Linked DNA regions of Kluyveromyces lactis. The protein of the gene in region 5 interacts with the protein of the main gene of each other region in a biochemical or structural test. Links are inferred from orthologs where the notes say so. Each region holds a gene or a part of one and is shown on either strand. Other genes may lie near its edges.

What was found.
Region 1: the proteins of VPS74 (region 5) and COP1 form a complex in vitro, tested with the Saccharomyces cerevisiae proteins (2 studies listed by BioGRID). The link is inferred for Kluyveromyces lactis from reciprocal best matches to the Saccharomyces cerevisiae genes VPS74 and COP1.
Region 2: the proteins of VPS74 (region 5) and SEC21 form a complex in vitro, tested with the Saccharomyces cerevisiae proteins (2 studies listed by BioGRID). The link is inferred for Kluyveromyces lactis from reciprocal best matches to the Saccharomyces cerevisiae genes VPS74 and SEC21.
Region 3: the proteins of VPS74 (region 5) and SEC28 form a complex in vitro, tested with the Saccharomyces cerevisiae proteins (2 studies listed by BioGRID). The link is inferred for Kluyveromyces lactis from reciprocal best matches to the Saccharomyces cerevisiae genes VPS74 and SEC28.
Region 4: the proteins of VPS74 (region 5) and SEC26 form a complex in vitro, tested with the Saccharomyces cerevisiae proteins (2 studies listed by BioGRID). The link is inferred for Kluyveromyces lactis from reciprocal best matches to the Saccharomyces cerevisiae genes VPS74 and SEC26.

The regions. Positions count from the first base shown.
Region 1 is NC_006042.1:478,792-482,979, reverse strand, and holds the start of COP1 (coatomer subunit alpha), read left to right. Parts: upstream 1-1,297; coding exon 1,298-4,188. Other genes in the region: CRR1 (putative glycosylase), read left to right, coding at 1-797. UniProt on the Saccharomyces cerevisiae protein: The coatomer is a cytosolic protein complex that binds to dilysine motifs and reversibly associates with Golgi non-clathrin-coated vesicles, which further mediate biosynthetic protein transport from the ER, via the Golgi up to the trans Golgi network.
Region 2 is NC_006041.1:1,173,054-1,177,397, reverse strand, and holds SEC21 (coatomer subunit gamma), read right to left. Parts: upstream 2,892-4,344; coding exon 57-2,891; downstream 1-56. Other genes in the region: CCR4-NOT core subunit CAF40, read right to left, coding at 3,177-4,344. UniProt on the Saccharomyces cerevisiae protein: The coatomer is a cytosolic protein complex that binds to dilysine motifs and reversibly associates with Golgi non-clathrin-coated vesicles, which further mediate biosynthetic protein transport from the ER, via the Golgi up to the trans Golgi network.
Region 3 is NC_006039.1:798,490-801,248, reverse strand, and holds SEC28 (coatomer subunit epsilon), read right to left. Parts: upstream 1,430-2,759; coding exon 548-1,429; downstream 1-547. Other genes in the region: GET complex subunit GET2, read right to left, coding at 1-237; ARE2 (sterol acyltransferase), read left to right, coding at 2,040-2,759. UniProt on the Saccharomyces cerevisiae protein: The coatomer is a cytosolic protein complex that binds to dilysine motifs and reversibly associates with Golgi non-clathrin-coated vesicles, which further mediate biosynthetic protein transport from the ER, via the Golgi up to the trans Golgi network.
Region 4 is NC_006039.1:1,329,127-1,333,167, forward strand, and holds the start of SEC26 (coatomer subunit beta), read right to left. Parts: upstream 2,802-4,041; coding exon 1-2,801. Other genes in the region: KLLA0_C15301g (uncharacterized protein), read right to left, coding at 3,057-4,041. UniProt on the Saccharomyces cerevisiae protein: The coatomer is a cytosolic protein complex that binds to dilysine motifs and reversibly associates with Golgi non-clathrin-coated vesicles, which further mediate biosynthetic protein transport from the ER, via the Golgi up to the trans Golgi network.
Region 5 is NC_006041.1:216,636-219,451, forward strand, and holds VPS74 (Vps74p), read right to left. Parts: upstream 1,562-2,816; coding exon 587-1,561; downstream 1-586. Other genes in the region: CTS2 (putative chitinase), read left to right, coding at 1-401; ubiquitin-specific protease UBP2, read right to left, coding at 2,012-2,816.

The DNA.
Region 1 (4,188 bases), on a different chromosome or scaffold from region 5:
ATCACCAAGGTGAATTAAATCACACAAGGATGGAAAAGCTAGAACTAAGTTCTGACAGTTTTGAAAATACTCATATTTACGAAGTCGATTGGGACCAAGATAGAATCAACTGGATTGTGGACGGTGTAGTAGCTAGAACATTATACAAGGAAGATACATGGAATGAGGAAAAACAAAGATACGAATATCCACAAACACCAATGAGATTGCAAGTGTCGGTGTGGCCAGGTGGAAGAGAAGATGCTGACCCTGGTACCATAATGTGGGCTGGAGGGCTCATTGATTGGGAAAACTCGCCCGATATACTTGAGAAGGGTCAATTTTATGCAACTGTGGAATCAATAGCCGTTACACCTTACGAAAACAAATTCTGGCCATCAATAGTTGATGAACTAGAAAGATTACATTTACCTATTGATGCTAATTCATTGTTAGATATTACTTACGATTACAATTATGACAAGTTTAATGAGCATACGTGGTTTGAAGATTCAGTCATTTGGAAGAAGGGCAAATTACCTTATTTATCTTCCTTGGACAAGAATGGCCTAAATCCGGGAAGACAGCAACAAAGTCTTTTGGTAGGTAAACAATTGAAGCAAGAGCAGGGAGATGGGCCGGATCAGAGTCCTTCAAACAGGTTTATTCAAGACACTAATAAACCATCGGAAAAAAATCATGAAGAACAAGATTTGCTCCTACGAAACGCTCTGCAGTCACGCGATGCTACCACAAATGGGGGTTCCAGTCACAATAACAGAAATCCTATCAAAAGATTGCTTAATATGCTACATTAATCAGTAAAGGTTGCCCAGATGTTCACATCTACACTATACATGTATAGATATATAGACCTATGTATACCACTCTCGTATATGCTATCTCTTCTAGCATTCTCTTACGCATAGAATCTGTAGAGATGCGTCTGGCACAAATTCGGGTAATTATTACCCTACCATTACGTCCTTTGCATACTCTTCGGATTCTTCCAATTTTCAAAAAGGACAACTTTTCAAATAAAACACGATCTTATTTCAAAATAGTAAGCCATATGTGTATTTTAAGTAATTTTATGAACCTTGAATGAAGCTGACTTTGGCTAATAAACAACGATCAAGGTACTTTGTCGTCTAATTGAGTTGTCAGTGAGGACTAACCATCGAAGGAAAGCTTCAATCGTAACCAATTGGTATATTGTTAACTGCAATTGTGACGTTTTCTTCCGAGTTATTCTTCTTATATTTCTCACAGTTTTTACTCAGATTTAGATCGAAGTCTTGAAAAGCTTGCTTTCATCATGAAGATGTTAACTAAGTTCGAATCAAAGTCTACCAGGGCGAAAGGTATTGCTTTTCATCCGTCTAGGCCTTGGGTTCTGGTAGCACTTTTCTCATCAACCATCCAATTATGGGATTACCGTATGGGTGTTTTGCTTCACCGTTTTGAAGATCATGAGGGTCCGGTACGTGGCATTGATTTCCATCCAACGCAACCTCTTTTCGTTTCTGCAGGTGATGATTATACTATCAAAGTATGGTCTTTAGAGAGCAACAAGTGTCTATTCACATTGGACGGCCATTTAGACTATGTTCGTACAGTATTCTTCCATCACGAATTGCCATGGATTATTTCCAGTTCCGACGATCAAACCATCAGAATCTGGAACTGGCAGAACAGAAAGGAAATAGCATGTTTAACTGGCCATAACCACTTCGTAATGTGTGCCCAATTCCATCCAGTCGAAGATTTGGTGGTTTCTGCTTCTTTGGATGAAACCGTTAGAGTTTGGGATATTTCAGGGCTAAGAAAAAGACATTCCGCACCAGGCACTCAATCATTCGAAGAACAAATGAGACAGCAACAGAACTTACTTGACGGAGGATTTGGAGATTGTGTGGTGAAGTTCATTTTAGAAGGCCACACTAGAGGAGTAAATTGGGCTTCTTTCCATCCAACTTTACCATTGATCGTTTCCGGTTCTGATGATCGTCAAGTGAAATTGTGGAGAATGAGTGCCACAAAGGCATGGGAGGTCGATACTTGTAGAGGTCATACCAACAACGTTGATTCCGTCATTTTCCATCCTCAACAGAATCTCATTATATCAGTTGGTGAGGATAAAACCGTAAGAGTATGGGACTTGGACAAGCGTACTCCAATTAAACAGTTCAAAAGAGAAAATGACAGATTCTGGTTAGTGAGAGCTCACCCAAACCTAAATCTGTTCGGTGCTGCTCATGATTCTGGTATTATGATCTTTAAGTTGGACCGTGAAAGACCACCAACTGCTATAAACCAAAATCAGTTGTTCTTTATCAACAGGGAGAAACAAGTCCAAATGTTTGATTACCACAAGAGAATCACTTCTCTACCTTATCTTTCTTTGAAAAACATCGGCAAGACCTGGAGTTCATTTAGAAGTATGTCTTATAACCCATCCCAACATTCCGTCCTTGTCAACTCCTCCGAAAAGGAAGCCAACAGGTTCAGCTTATGTGTCTTACCTAAACAACCTAGTGGAGCTGTTGAAGCTAGCAACGTCATCTCTGATGATGGTAGTTTTGCGATCTTCGTTGCTCGTAACAGATTTGTGGTGCACAATGGCAGCACTAATAGCTTGGAGGTTCGTAGTTTAGATAACAAAACCACAAAGTCAATCAAATTAACTGATACTGTTAAAGACATCACATTAGCTGCTCCTGGTACTGTTTTGATTCTATATTCTCATTCTGTGGTAATGATGGACGTCCAACAAGGTAAAATTCTTCATGAATTATCTTTAAAGAACATCAAGTATACAGTGTGGTCTCAAGATGGCCAATATGTTGCATTGATGAGTAAGCATACATTGACAATCGCAAACAGAAAACTGGAAATCGTTACATCAAACCATGAAAGTATTAGAATCAAGAGTGCAAGTTGGGATGAAACCGGTGTCCTAATTTATTCAACATTGAACCATATCAAATACTGTCTATTGAATGGTGATTCTGGTATCATTAAAACCTTAGAAAGAACATTATACATCAACAAGGTACATGGCAAATTTGTCTATGCTTTGAATCGTGAAGGGGAAGTAGAGATTTTGACAATTGATCCTACTGAATATCGTTTCAAGAAGACTTTAGTCAACAAAAATTTCCCTGAGGTATTGCGTATCATTAAAAATTCAAATTTAGTTGGTCAAAACATCATATCTTATCTTCAAAAATCAGGCTATCCTGAAATTGCGTTACAATTCGTGGAGGATCCTCAAACAAGATTTGATTTGGCTACACAATACGGTAATTTGACAGTTGCTCTTGAAGAAGCTGAGAAATTGAACAATGAACTTGTATGGGAAAGATTGGGCAAAGAAGCTTTGATCCAAGGTAACACAGATATCGCTGAATTGGTATATCAAAACACTAAGCAGTTTGATAAACTGTCTTTCCTATATCTACTTAAGGGAGACAACTCCAAACTGGCAAAAATGGAGTCTATTGCTGAACATAGATCAGATATTTCCGGCTTGATTCAAAATACCTTTTACAATAACTCAGTTCAGAAGCGTGCAAATGTCTTTTTAAATGCAGGCTCTGCTCCTTTGGCTTATGCAGTGGCAAAAGCTAACGGCGACGATGACCTTGCCACTTCCATTTTGGAATCCGAAGAAATTGATGAGCAAGACATTTCCCTACCAACTGAACTCAACTCCTCCACAAATGTAAAAACCCCTGTCATTTCTGCTCCTTTGAAAAACTGGCCGTTAAAGCAAGCTGAAGTCTCATTCTTTGAAAAAGCCCTTTTGGGCCAAATCGAAGATCTTGAAATTTCTGATGATAAGGAAGAAAATGTTTCAGATACTACCCAAAATGTTGGCCAGTTTGATTTAGGAGAACAAGATAACCTAGACTTTGATGATGAAGCTGTTGGAGAGGAAGAAGATGCTTGGGACCTAGACCAAAATGATTTGGAATTAGACGACGAGTTAGAGATCGAAGAATCCGAAGTGACTGAAGAACAAGTAGATGAATCAGAATTGCCAATGTGGGTTAAAAATTCAAAGCTTCCAGCAGTTCTAGTAGCCGCTGGAGCCTTTGATGCTGCTGCCCAAGCCTTGAATAAGCAGGTAGCCGTTGTAAACTTCGAACCCCTCAGGACACCATTCATTGATATATACGATGGTGCAAGAACTTATATGAGTGC
Region 2 (4,344 bases), about 960 kb from region 5:
TCTTAGATAGATATATATATATATAGGTTTTTTTTTTGTTTTCAAATGTACATATATTATATCAAGTTGTTTGATAAGTCTTCTGCCAACGATTCCTTGTCGGATTTCACTAGAGCCTTAATTGCAATACCCTTACTTGTCTTGATCATCTTGATGGAAAGCAGGGCTTTAGTGTTGTCTAAGATACATTTTCCTGAAAGTTTTAGAGTATGTTGGGTGGCATCGTGGGATACTATTTGTGAGTTTTCCAAAGGTAAACCACCAGCGCTAATGACTAACTTGTCGATGACTTCTTGTAGTGTGTTAGTTTCGACAATGTTGTAGACAGAGACGGATTCATAAGGTAGTTCTTCCAAAGAGGTGGCAAAATTGCTTACGAATGATGGTTTCATGTAGTCACCGGGACTCAAGAACAATGAATCAAATTCGTATTCATCTTGGAACCCTTCGTCATCTTCGAATGGCAAAGAGGTAGATGGGTCTAATTCCTTGGATTGGAATTTCAACGAGTTGCTGAATCTTTCTACAATGATATCATCCTTGTTCTGTGTTAGTTTCTTGAACGATACGTAACATGACTCTCCTTCATTGGGTAAGAGTCTTTCAATAGGCAAAACAAATTCCTCTTGTTCGTCAAGTAAACCCTCTGATAATCCTTCTTGTTGGCATACCACTTCAACGTTATCAAGCGCAACGTCCTTCAATGTGTTAGTGATATGGAATTGTAATACAACGTGCTCGTCAAACAAATGCTTGATACCCTTCACAACGAATTCAGCTTCAATTTCCGTTAATGGGACAATCTTGGAAGAATGGATACACTTGCCAAAGGACTGGAATTGTTCCAAGGAGGACATTTCATCCACGTATTTGGACAATAGCAAATCTTCTTCTTCAGATTCCAATGAAGGTCCATTGAAGCTATTGTCATCCAATCTATCACCCTTTCTACCACCCTTTTCAGTACCGTTACCATTTCCGGCACCACTGTTGGAAGATTCTTCTGTATGGTTGAAGGCTTGCTCTTGTCTGCGTTTCAAATCCAATGCCTTCTTCTCGTCTTCGGAGTATTTGGCAACTGACGAGACGTCAAATGGAGTCTTGAATGCCTCTTGGCCTTGTGACAAATAGTGTGATAGTTTTGATTCAAGAGCAACAACGTCATAGGTAGAAGTTGGGCGAATGAAATTTTGTGCGATATTGGAAACATCTTTCTTGGACTTAACCGAATCGATGAATTGCAAAGCAATGGATGCTCTATCTCTAACTTCATCATCTGAATCAGTCTTGATTTGAGTCAATAGCTGTTCAATACTTTCTACTAACTCAGGGTCATTCTTAACAAGTGCAAATTTGGAAAGAGACAACACAGCAGCAGATCTGATGATAGAATTCTCTAGAATAACTCTATTGTAAATGTGTCTCACGTATAATGACGGGTTCTTAGTGGTTGGACCCTCCTTACCCAATAGATGTAAGATTCTAACCAATATTTCATTATATTCACAATCTTCGATGAAATCACATAATTCTTCTAAAGCTTTTTCCTTAGATTGTGGGACGAATTGAATTAAATCAATTAATGCTTCCACGACACTATTTTTGAATTGAAGACTGCCTTCGGCAGATTGTAAGGATTCCATCAAGAAATGTAATATTGTATCACATTCCTCAGGGAAATTTAGAGAAAGAGTTCTAATAGCATCAATAATGATGATCTTGAAATCGTCATTCACCTCGTGGATGAACTTGGTAATTGTCTTAATCAAAGAACCAATGTTCTTGTCGGTACCAGTCTTCAACAAGGTAGTGATTGTGTAAGTGGAAATGTTTCTGTTGCTATCGTTAACAAGAGATTCCAATTGTGGATTACATACCACAATTTTCTCTGGTGAAACCATAGAAATCTTGTTCAACAAACGCACTGCAGCAAATCTGGTTGTCACACGAGGAGTGGACAAGAATCCTTGCAAGACAGAAACCGCTGCTGCAAACAAATCGTTAGGAACCAAGTTGGATAGAGACGCAGTAAGCTTACAAGCTTCCAAAGCAACAGCCTCGTGTCTGCTTTGCAACCAATTAGCTATTAGTGGTAAGAACTGGGGGATGGAGTTAGGATCCTTCAAAACCAATTGGTGCACGAATTTAACCATTTGTACTTGAGCCAATTGATTTTTCAATGGTGAAGAATGACCGGCAAACTGTTGGATCAATTTGATCAAAGCCATCTTATCGTGATTCTTCAATTGGTACAACAAACCCAATGCATGGTATTGAGAGATATGAGACGTAGTTGGATAATATCTACTGTTCTCATCTGGATATGGCAACTGTTTCAAATCACCAACGGCTTCCTGAGTCTCATTAGCAAATCTCTTCACCGTAGTTTCAGCGATTGGTAATAAATGGTATGAACTGACCAAAGAAGCAGAACAAATAGATGGATGTTTGCTAACCAACGAATTTTTCAATAATCTTTCTGCAGAAAATGCAGTGGACTCATCCAAGACACGGATCAATGCTCTAATAGCATTAGGCTTCACTAGATCTGAACCATTTTGAACATCTTTCATAATTGAAGAAGTAGCCATCAAGATATCATCGGAGATTCCACACAATTCCTTAATAGCCACGTAAACGATTTGTCTCAAAGAATCGTTAGGGTGTTGGAACAATTTCGAAATGGAAAAGAATAAAGCAGTAGCTTCTTGTCTAGGGAAAGTCTCACCATGCGACAATAGTTCCAACAAGCTTGTGATCAGGGTACGGCACAGTTTAGGATTCACAGGAGATTCATTGAACCGATTCAAACAATCCTGATAGATCGCCATTTTGTCTGGCAAGGACCCACTGTGTGGGTCCTCAGACTTCTTATAAGTTTGTGCAGACATGCAATTGGCAGTGCTAGGATACCTTCAAATGACGTACTAACCTTTAGTAGCCAATTTTGAGCCTATTAACCTCGTGTTTTATCCAATTCTTTTTGCCGTGTGGTATGGTATATATTTATATTCATAATGTTTTCAGTTTGCAAATCGGTAGAAGTCCTTTGGAATGAAAAAAAAAGTGAAGCGGGTGTGTGAAAGTGAGGGTAACACTTGTTTTTTAATTATGATATATATGTATATATATATATATATATGGATATGGAGATATATATGATATAGCAGGCAAGATCACTGCTGCTGTTCATCTAGAGTCAGGAGTAGTTGTGCAAGACATCTCTTGGTACCTACATCGTCCTGTAGTGCTTCATTGAAGGTGTTATCTCTTAGTTGTTGCGGCAAAACTTGTTTCAACAATCTTCTGGCTTCTAAATTATCCGATAATCTTAGGTAGCATCTTACAACATGTTTCAATAATCTTCCCGGCACCTGTTGTTGGGACATGTGCTTAAACATAGTTGCCAAAACTTGTGACACCGCGTAGAACCGTTCTGGGGTCGCGCATACGAACTGGAGTCCGTTATCGTCTAATAATATTTTCTGTAAGATGAAGATAGCGACGATCTTCGAAAGTTCTGAAGAGTTTTCCATGATTCTTAAACATAATGGGATAATATCTGTCCTTAGAAGGAAACTGATCACTTCTGCAGAATCGTTTTTCACTAGAGCACCGATGACACCTAGTGAAGTTAGCCTTAAATATTCAAAAGTTCTTTGGTTTGATGTCGTAGATAAGAATGGGAAAAGGAACAACGGGATGTGAGCCTGTAAGAATTGAGGCCTGATATCTGGGTGTGATGCGACACATTGTAAGAGCACCAAAGCGTTGCATACGCGGTTTGATAACTGGTTTGATAATGCAGGAGGTGAAAGAAGCGGATAAATTGAAATTATTTCCTTTAGCAACGACGTCATCACACCGAAACTGGACCACAGCACGATAGCCAAATCCTCATACTGTTCACGTTTCTTACCTAGTTCTAGAAGCGCTTGTTCTTTGCTTGGCCCGTAAGTGAGCTGGCATATCCAATGGTAGACATTTGGATCATCTAGCGCATGTGTTATTCCTGCTGGTGTGGGACCTGGCCCAGGAACTGAACTTGGTCCTGCAGTTGGCCCTTGGCCCATCCCAGGCATCTGACCTGGAAGTTGGTTGTTTTCTACTACTGGGTGGGGCATTCCTTGTTGCAAACCAGGAGGCATATTTTGGGGTTGCTGTTGTTGCTGTTGGCCCTGGGTTTGATTTTGACCCTGAGCCTGCCCTTGAGGCTGGCCTTGACCCTGGCCTTGGTTATTTGGGAAGTAAGGTTTCAATTGTGGGAAATATTTCCTGCGGGTTTGTTCCGAGAACACATTCCCCTGAGCTTGAGCCGCTTGAGCCTGGGGTTGCTGTTGAAAC
Region 3 (2,759 bases), on a different chromosome or scaffold from region 5:
ATCTTGAATCTCTTTGGTAGACTTTTCAACTTCTTCGTCACTCACATTGGATGATTTCTTGTTACCTGACGGAGTAACTTTTGGCTCATCAAGAACAGATGTTGAAGACAAAAAGCTATTCTGCTGTTGACCAGTGATCTTGTTCAACCTGCTGGAAGCACCTCCGTTGGAAAACTTCTGTTGCCTTCTTTCCCTCAACAATTTACGTTTCTCAGCATCAGACAATTCAGTAGCCATCTTGTAAACTCCAAATTCTGTGTGAATTACAGCTCAATTCGGGGGAAACTAAAGTAGAATTAGATCGACAATCAAAATAAGAAGATCAACTCCCCTGAATATTCGAACTAAATACAACGCAGGTGCCTTGTAAAACGATACCGAGTGACTGGTTTCAAAACTAACCCTTCACATTGTATAGGATGTTTGATCAATCCGCTTTATCTTGACAGTTCCCACGAAATTGATGGGAAAAAGAACAATGTTACCCGGAAAGTATCGCCAATACCAATACTATTTGCTACTCAAGATCTATTTGATATATATAGATTTAGGCTGTGTACTTTGCCACAATTTGATCGAAAGTCTTGTTATTTTCAAGGTCGGCAACACATAGTGGGTGAGATGGTTTCAATTGTTGCAATTCCGATCTCAATTCGTTTGCATTTCCACCAGATAAGATGGTGTACGTAATCTTATTTGCAAGTAGATCAGGCTTGTACGTTTGTGCTTCTTGTTTGATATCGTAGAACTCGCTTTCTAAGAGGTCGATGATTGCTTTGGATTCAGGCAAATGCGATTGTTGGAGGTGTAAATTCAATAGGCCTAATTGAGTCTTCCAACTTGGGAAAGTTTGAGACAACTCTTCAAAGAAATAGAAATTGGATCCAGTGATCTCTTTACCCTGGTTGAAGTTGATGTATGACTCTGCAAGATTCAAAATTATTTCATCGTCGTTCGATTGCTCCTGAAGTGCTTGGAAATTTTCAAACATAGTCGAGGCAATGGTTGGTTGATTATCCAACAAAGTTATTTGGATGGCCGTTAACAGTAGTTCCGGGGTTCCTCTTGTTTCATCGGAGTCAATTCCTTCAACGGCAACCTCCAAAGCAGTTTTAAACTCGCCCTTTATAGTCAATGCACTTGCTAATAAGTTCAATGCAAATGGAGATCTGCCCGCCTTTTCAACGGTTTGTTCTAGTGCAGTGATTGAGCCTGTAGGTTTGCTTAAAAATTTATAGTAAGCCTCAAATACAGGCCCAAGTGAGCCAGAATCAGCACTACCCTCACTGAACTGGGACAATGCAATCAATGATCTATTTCTGTAGTAAGTCAACGCCTCATCTTCAGTTTTGTTAAACTTAGAAACTTCGTTCAACGCTTCTTCATAGTTACCAGTATAAAACTGCTGTTTTACAGTAAAATAGTCCATTTCTTCTGAGTTGATATTTTTTTCTCAACAAATCTGACGTCGGAAAACTTCAATTAACCGTTATCGTGTATTGAAAGCGACTTTACTGGCTCATTAACGGGTCTATCTCACACGTATCCTTTAATATTGAGAGTCCATATGCTATCTTACTTTGATCCACCATGCGAATTGTCCAAAACTGAAAAACTGACAGGATCAGGGTAATGGATGTTTTTCATTCACGTGATCTTTTTTTTTGTATTTTTCCTTTCTCGAATAATTCTCGAAGGTGTGGATCACCATATGGCGTTTATTTAAGGGATTGAGAGTATTTATCAGAAGAAATTCAGAGCCAGTTACTTTGGACGTTTAAACGATACGGGTTGGAAAAGGAAACAGATTCAGTAATTAACAGTACACTTCTTACGACCATTGGTTAATTCCGGATTTGAGATTTATATTTAAAACGTCTGAGTGAGAGAGAGAGGTTAGCAAGAATTTTTTCCTTCTTAAGACGAATCACGACTTGGCCTAGATTTATCTCAGACTAATTTCATGGTGAAGAGTCAATCCACGTTAATATATCATAAAAGATTTATTTAACTGGATCTTTAATTAAAAACCTGTCATAATGTCCGGTTCAAGTGACAGTTCACATGATACCACCGTTAAGGATATAACTGAGGATGAGCAGTTCTTGAGGATAAGAAGGCTGAACGACAACAACCATGGGAAGAGGAAGTCTTTGCATGAGGAACAGTTGGAGGATGCTGTTCTCGATGAACTTGGATCTCCGGACGTTCTTTTCAACACGGTCCAGCCTAACGACACGGTTATCTTTAAGACTAGAACCACCTCCGAACAAGGCGACAAACATCTGCATGTTTTCATGCAGAAATTGAAGGTGAAGGAAAAGAACAGATATAAGAAGGATACGAATGAAATGCAGTCCATGACACGAGATGTAGACTGGGGCTCTAGAGGTAGTATCATGGATGAGATGGTCAACAATCCGCTTAGATCTCATTTCAATGGGCCAGCAATAGACGAGAAATATTCTAGAGTAAAGGCAACAGCCAGATCAAATACGGTGAGGATAGATGACAATAATACTATTGAAATTGCAAATGAAACTATAGCAACAGACTTTTCTGGATTCTATGTCTTATTTTGGATGGCAGTTGCGTTCACCATCTGCAAAGTGACATTACAATATTACGAGGAACATGGTGATTTTTCACAGTCAATTATCTTGCGATACATGACCATGAATCTTTGGAAAGTTGCGTTATATGATATCGCAATGTACCTGACTAGTTATTTTGCATTCGTCATACAATATTTGTGCAGA
Region 4 (4,041 bases), on a different chromosome or scaffold from region 5:
TCTTGTGTGATTGGATCCTTCTCTATGCACAGGTTAGCCAAAGCGTCCTCGCCAAATGTAGATCTAGAATATAAGTTACAACTTAGGAATCTGGAATCATTGTCGCCGAGTGCCTCTTCAGGGGTTAGAACCTTCATATGTGTAACTTCCACCAACTTCTCTAAATAACCGCGTAAAGATGGTAATTTGGATTTGATACGAAGTTTATTTTCCCATTCAAACGCATTCCACATCTTACGGAAACTGTTATCATCGCAGATTGCTGGTTTCACATAATCCATTGTGTCGATATGAACGTCATTCAAGATGACATAACGAGAATCTTGACCGTGACCACCATCATATATAATGTTACCGAAAATAACACCAGTATCTGCTGAGGACACCTTTGCTGTTATCGTAATTTTGTGGAACCCATGTGGAATAACGTTGGTGCTAGGTGGGTGGTCAATAATTTTTAAGTCACCAAGAGTAGCGAATTGAACATGTAGGTTTTTCAAAGTATCCTTGGTTTGGTTCACTAATAGAACATCTAACACAACATCGAATTGGTGATTAGTGATATAACACTCGGCATAAACAGGATCGCTGAAACCAGTCAATGGGACGATCTTCTTCAATTTTGAAGTGATAGAATTAGCTTGTAGTTTGGAATATGATACAGTACCGGTGGTAGCCAATTTTATATCTTCTTCGATTGAATCGACGGGGGTATTGTGCAAGCCTGCATTCTTAAATTGTCTGAAAACGATGGATTTATCGATGGCCTCGGCGTGCTTGGCTAGGTAGTTTGATCTCTTGGCAGCATTCTTCTTCAAAGTAACATTGACTCTTGATTTGTATGATTCGTTGGTAGCTTCCAAGAATGCCAAACTCAAAAGTTCTTTCTCTGCTTGACTTTCTTCGGTAGAAATCTCGTCCATCAATACCGAAATTGCCGTCATTAGTCTTTCAGCAGAGTCCTCGTCAATCTTCTTTTCTACTAAGTTACTTTGACCTAATCTGATGATACTAACCAAAATCAACAACCCTTCGGCCTTTAGGGCGTTAGTTACAGAAGTGTTCTTGGAAATCTTTTCGAATTTCAACACCAATTTAACGATAGAGTTAGCCAACACAGAGGCAGTAAAGAAATCTCCATTTAGGACGAAACGACGTAAAGGAGGTCTTGCTTCTTTTTCCTCGTTTGAGGTGGATTTGACCTTTTCTGAGACAGATAGAGCAGATTCGGTTGCATAAGTACCATCTGGCAAAACTACCGGCCCTGTGGATACTATTGGGGCCTTTTCAGTATCGTCTTCGTCATCATTTTGAACTCTTCTCAGTTCAGATTGAACAATTGGAACTTCACCTATACTTGAACGGATGTGCTTCCAGGTATTCTGGATTTCTGCTTCGGATTGGGCATGCTCACCTAGTACCCAAAGAGCACCACGGTAAGCCTTTGCTGACTTTACTTCATGCAATGTCTCAATCAAAGTAGTTAAAATCTCAGATCTTAACTCAGGATACCTTTCAATGACCTGTTTTGTAAAGGAAATGACATCATTGGCACTTTCAGACGACAAGTTACCGATAAAATCTAGAAGCAATGAGACAACATTGGAGGAGACTTCAATAAATCTTATTGCCACTTTGTTAATGGATTTGATCAATAATTGCCTGTACTCCAGAGTTTTATCGTTACTGCTATCAGCAGTAGATTGTAATTCTTTCCTCAATAACTTAACTACACTGTCTACGTTTCTGGACGTAATCAATTCTAAGGAGATATCCAAAGCCTTAGCACGGACATCCAAATCTTGTGCGTTCAAAACACGTAGAATATCCAATGTTAGATCCTCTAAAGAGCCTGGATTCTTCTCGTTTATTTCGTTGATTTTTTCTAAAACAACCAACTTGATGTTGTTATCAGATTCTTTTGTGGCCAAATCAATTAGCTTGTTAGCTACGGTCAATAAAATAGCTTCTTTATTGGTTAGAACAGTTAAAGTAATGGCAGCTTCGTACATGACATCCGTAGAACGAGTAGAAACTAAAAGATCTTGCAACAATTCAACATACTGAGAGACCAATCCTGGAGTTTTGATAGCATCCTTTCTAATGAAACTAATGAAGGCGTTTTGTAGCAAAGCATCCAAATTTTCAATCGAAGTTAGGTTGTCCTGTAGGTAGTTCAACGCAGCTTCACGGTCCAATTCTGCAAGACCTAGGAAAGCATTTCTCTTACAAATTGGATCAGTTTCTGCAACCAAAAAGGAATCAATCACTTCACAAGCATCAGGAATCAAATGGTCGCTGACTTTGTAAATGGAAAGAACTGCTAAGATTGCATACTTACGAACGTATGCGTGTCTGTATTCCAAACAAGCACGGACAGAAGGAACCATTTGCTCTAAAAGTTCTGCTTCTTTCAATTTCGTCAAGAATCTTAAGGTATTGCCCCTGATGTATTCGTTTGGATGTTGCAAATCATGTTGGATAGCGTTGCAGACAAGAATCATTTCTTGCTTCAATTTACCTTCACGATCTAATTTTGGAACAATTTCCCAGTAAAAGTATAAAAGCTTCTTCAATTGCTTGTTCTTTGAAGGCATCACAAATCTGATGATGTGCATCAACAAATCTGGTAATGGATTACCATCTAACATGGTCACCAAGATCCTCTTCATGGTCGCGATCTTTTCAGTATCAGACCCCTTTTCCAATGCCTTTTGGAAGTCTGATACGGTATATGTGACCCCATTTGGATTGGGGTCGTACACTAACGTATACGCAGGTTGTTCGACGCCGACTGTCATACCTCAATTGACCTGTGTGTCTTGTGTAGCTTCTTTTAACTTCCTGGTTCTCGCATATGTTATTTCATAACAGAACTGTTCCAAAACAGCATGTTCTTTATTTCAGAATCTCATTTTCGTCCTGAAAATCAACATAAAACAAAGTACGGGTAACAATGAATTTGACCGGGTATTAGAAACGTTAATATATACATTGGTACAAGATACGTATAGATCAAGATATAGATGCAGCAGTAATATTGTTTGAATGATAGTTTATTCTGAATCTGGGTTGGTTATATGCAATCCTGTTCCAGCGGTACCGCGGTAGTAACCGAAATCTGCTACGTCAAGCTCGTAATCATCGTCAGCATTCGAAATGCTAGATTTATGAGATTTGGGATTAGTGTCACCTTTTTCATGTACTGCAGGAGTACATGGCTTTTGAGATTCTTCAATCAGGTTATATTTCCGTAGATCTAGTGGTAGCTGTGGACTGTACGTTACGTCTAGAGTACCGCTTCTCATTCTACCAGCATTTCTCGTGAAATAGCTGGATACAGTATCTGATCTTTTCAAGCGCGTTTGGGAAACTTCGTCATGAATTCTTTGTTTTGGGTTCTCACGCAACGGTGCCATTAAATCATCGCTATCGTATGCCTCATCACCAGGAATATCATCAAGAATATCTTGGTCTGCCTCGGAAATTTTTTCATCCTTGTTGAACAAAGTATGAAATTCCTTAGTATGATCAACTTTTGTGGACTCGGTATTGAATTTGAGGCCTGTAGTACTGTTATTTTCCTCTTCTTCTTCCTCTTCTTTTGTAGTTTCAAGTGATAATAGCTTCTGTTTGGCCTTGCCGTGCTTTATACCGACTTGTCTAGTACTTGTTCGTATTGTAACTTTGATATTTTGTGGTTGTTCAAGAGTATTCTTGTTCTTCAAAGCATAAGGTAGATCTGGAGGCAACTGTAAGGAATTTGACGTGGGGAAGTACAAGAGCCGTAGCTCTTCTATGTAGCTTGAGATGAGTCGAACATTTTTATCTGGAATCGATCCCTTGGTCAAACTTTTCTTGAATTCTGATGACGGAGTCGTGTTGATGGTGTCGTTATCAATGGACTTTGCTTCCAGTGCTGAAGATTGACGAGATTCAGTATTACTTAATAACGAAGATGCTGCACCTTTTTTAGATGAAGATAAAGAACTGCGTCTTGCCAGCGATGCGGTTATGGAATTGGTATCTGTATTCATGTAA
Region 5 (2,816 bases):
TTGGCAAGAAATATCACGGAGTTGGGGGTGGATCTGAGGGTGAGCCAGGGATTTGGTTATATAATCAACTACCGATCGATGGTAGCAAGGAACAGTTTGACTCAAATGCAGTCTCAGCTTACTGCTTTGATCCTAAATCCAGAACATTTGTGGGGTATGACAATGTTCAATCCATGGATATCAAGGGAAAATACATCAAGAAGAAAAACTTGAACGGTGGATTTTGGTGGGAATCTTGTGGGGATTCCAAAGACCCCAGGAAGTCACTAGTTAACGCATTTAGTAAGGAAATTGGCCTGTCTGAAGGCTTTGTATCATTGTTCAAAAGCGATAAAGTAAAGCAATTTCATTTACAAAAGTACCCCAAGGATTATATTTCAAGTCTTTTCCAGAAGCTCTAACTTCAGCCTTTCATATCAGATTTCAATGAATGAATATCATTACCAAGTAATGGAATTTGTGCTCAAATCGAGTTTACATTGTGATTTAGAACTAGTCGGATATTGTCCGTAGAATTTTTGAGATACAAGTATATATATATATGTGAATGATCCACACTGTTCTTCGAATCATAATACTATGGACTTTATAACAATGTGTCCATACGTGAAAAGACCTCAAAAACTCCAGCAACAACTTCAAGTTGCAAATCTGAACCCGGATGATTATTTAATTCCTGTGAAATCTCTTTATTTAAGTTCACTGAAACACCGGTGCTTGTTTGTTTATCGAGTGGGAACGGAAATTCTGAAAATTGAGCTAGAATTTCATCCGCACGAGCAAACCCTGTATCTCTCACTTCGTAATCTAAGGTAGCCAAGACATTTTCTAGAACATTAGCACCATAAGCACCACAGATTAAAGACAAGGTTCTAATATATTTAAAGGAAACATCTTGTGGGAAATAGGTATTATAAGTCAATTCAGCATTCCTTGAAACCAGTATCGATAGTATTCTTCTTTTAATAGATTCCTTGCAAGTTGTATCAGTGATCGGGTGTGTGGCCATGTCAAACAAAAAGAAGTTCTTCATTTCAGTTCTCAAAACACCTTTGTCAACCAATCCCTTTGCTAATCTTTCCCTAACTTGTTTCAATTGATAATTGATCTTTAGGAGATTCCAAGTCTCGCCACTAAGTAGGTCAATCCATCCGACAATTGAAGTTGGTGGATCGTTCTTCATTAAAGATAAACTTTCATCAAGTAAGACCTCGCCAGTTTTACTTCCGTCTATGACTTCAATTAATCTCTCACTGACATCGTATCTCTTTCTTGCTGGATCATCAACACATCTAATCTTACCTCGTAACGCTAGTTCTATCAAGATGCACCCACGTAGGGCGTACGAGATATTATCGTTCCAGAATGATAAATATCCCTGTTTATCCTTTAGTCCCATCAACAAAACTTCCTCCATTAAGGTCAACTTAGGAACACTAGTGTTGTCCCTTAGTTTCGCCTCTTGCTCGTCATATACAATCTTATGATCATGCTCATTATCTATTTGAGGGATTGATTCCGTTGTATCACCTTTATTAACTCGGCGACGCTGTAAAGACATGATGAATTTTTACCCTATTTTTTCGGCGTGCAACTTTGCAAGTTCACTTCTTGACAAGTCACAGTCCAATTGTCGGATAACAGAATTCCAATCCTACCTTCAAGTCAAACCTAATGACTTAAAGCCAATTGTGACACGAAGAGTAAATCTTTAAAATCATTCACCATAGATATAAACTAGGTTTGATCAAAATCAGTTAGTTATTTTTCATTTTGATGTTTTTTTTTTTCAAATTAGATCAAGGTAACTAACTAATTAAGAACTCCTGCCTGCCTTGCGAAAATCAATTTACCCTCACATGTGGATATTGAATCGAAGATAGTATCCGCACAGTAAGCCTAACTGAACGCCAGATCTTATAAATTTTACCAATTCCTGCATTACATACTGATCTATCTTTTAATTAATATAATGTAAATCATATTTATGCCACTTTAAGAGCGACACGGGTTACTCCTGTTGTTGAAGAATTCGTTTCAATGGTTCGATAGTTTCTTGTTCTTGACCTTCACGGACGTAGACCAAAAAGTATGGAGTGGCCGTATTACCCTCCGTGAAGTTGAATACTTCCGATTGTGGCACCTCTGTAACTGAGTCATCATTATACTTCCTCCAGATACCATTTTTGGTGTGATCTTTAATATAGACCCAGTAATGGCCGTAACTTGCTTCACCACGATGAATGAAAACGGCGAATAAAGAATAGCCGATATGTTTGAATTCGCTGAACTGTTGGGAAATAGTTGTCTCTAGATCTGTAATTTTGTTGAATAAGCTCTTTAGTTCCTCGTCTATGTTATTGATTAAAATATCAATGTAGGCGATCGATGAGGGGATATTGTCCGCATCAATATCGTGCGCTTTCAAGGTACCGGACTGTAAGAACTTTTTGGTCTCAATGAGCGAGGATTTTAAAGTTAATCCTATTTCGTTCTGTGAGAGTAGTTTCCTCTGTCTTTGCTTTAAGTCTTGAAGTTTCTGTTTCAATTCTGCGTTTTGTTGAATTTCTGCTAATAGTTTTGGATCCTCGGTAGCCATATATCTATCCATGTACAACGTTTCGCCGAAAGGTAGCGGCTCGATAGACTTGAAAGGCATGAATTTTTCTCTATCATAATAGACTCTCTGGATTTGAATTTGTAGAACCGCAGGTAACTCTGAGATAGATACAGTTCTCTTTACATCACCATACTCCTCCAAATTCAAATAGTCATTCTGAAAGTAAAAATCTAAAGCATCATAAATATCCTTTGGA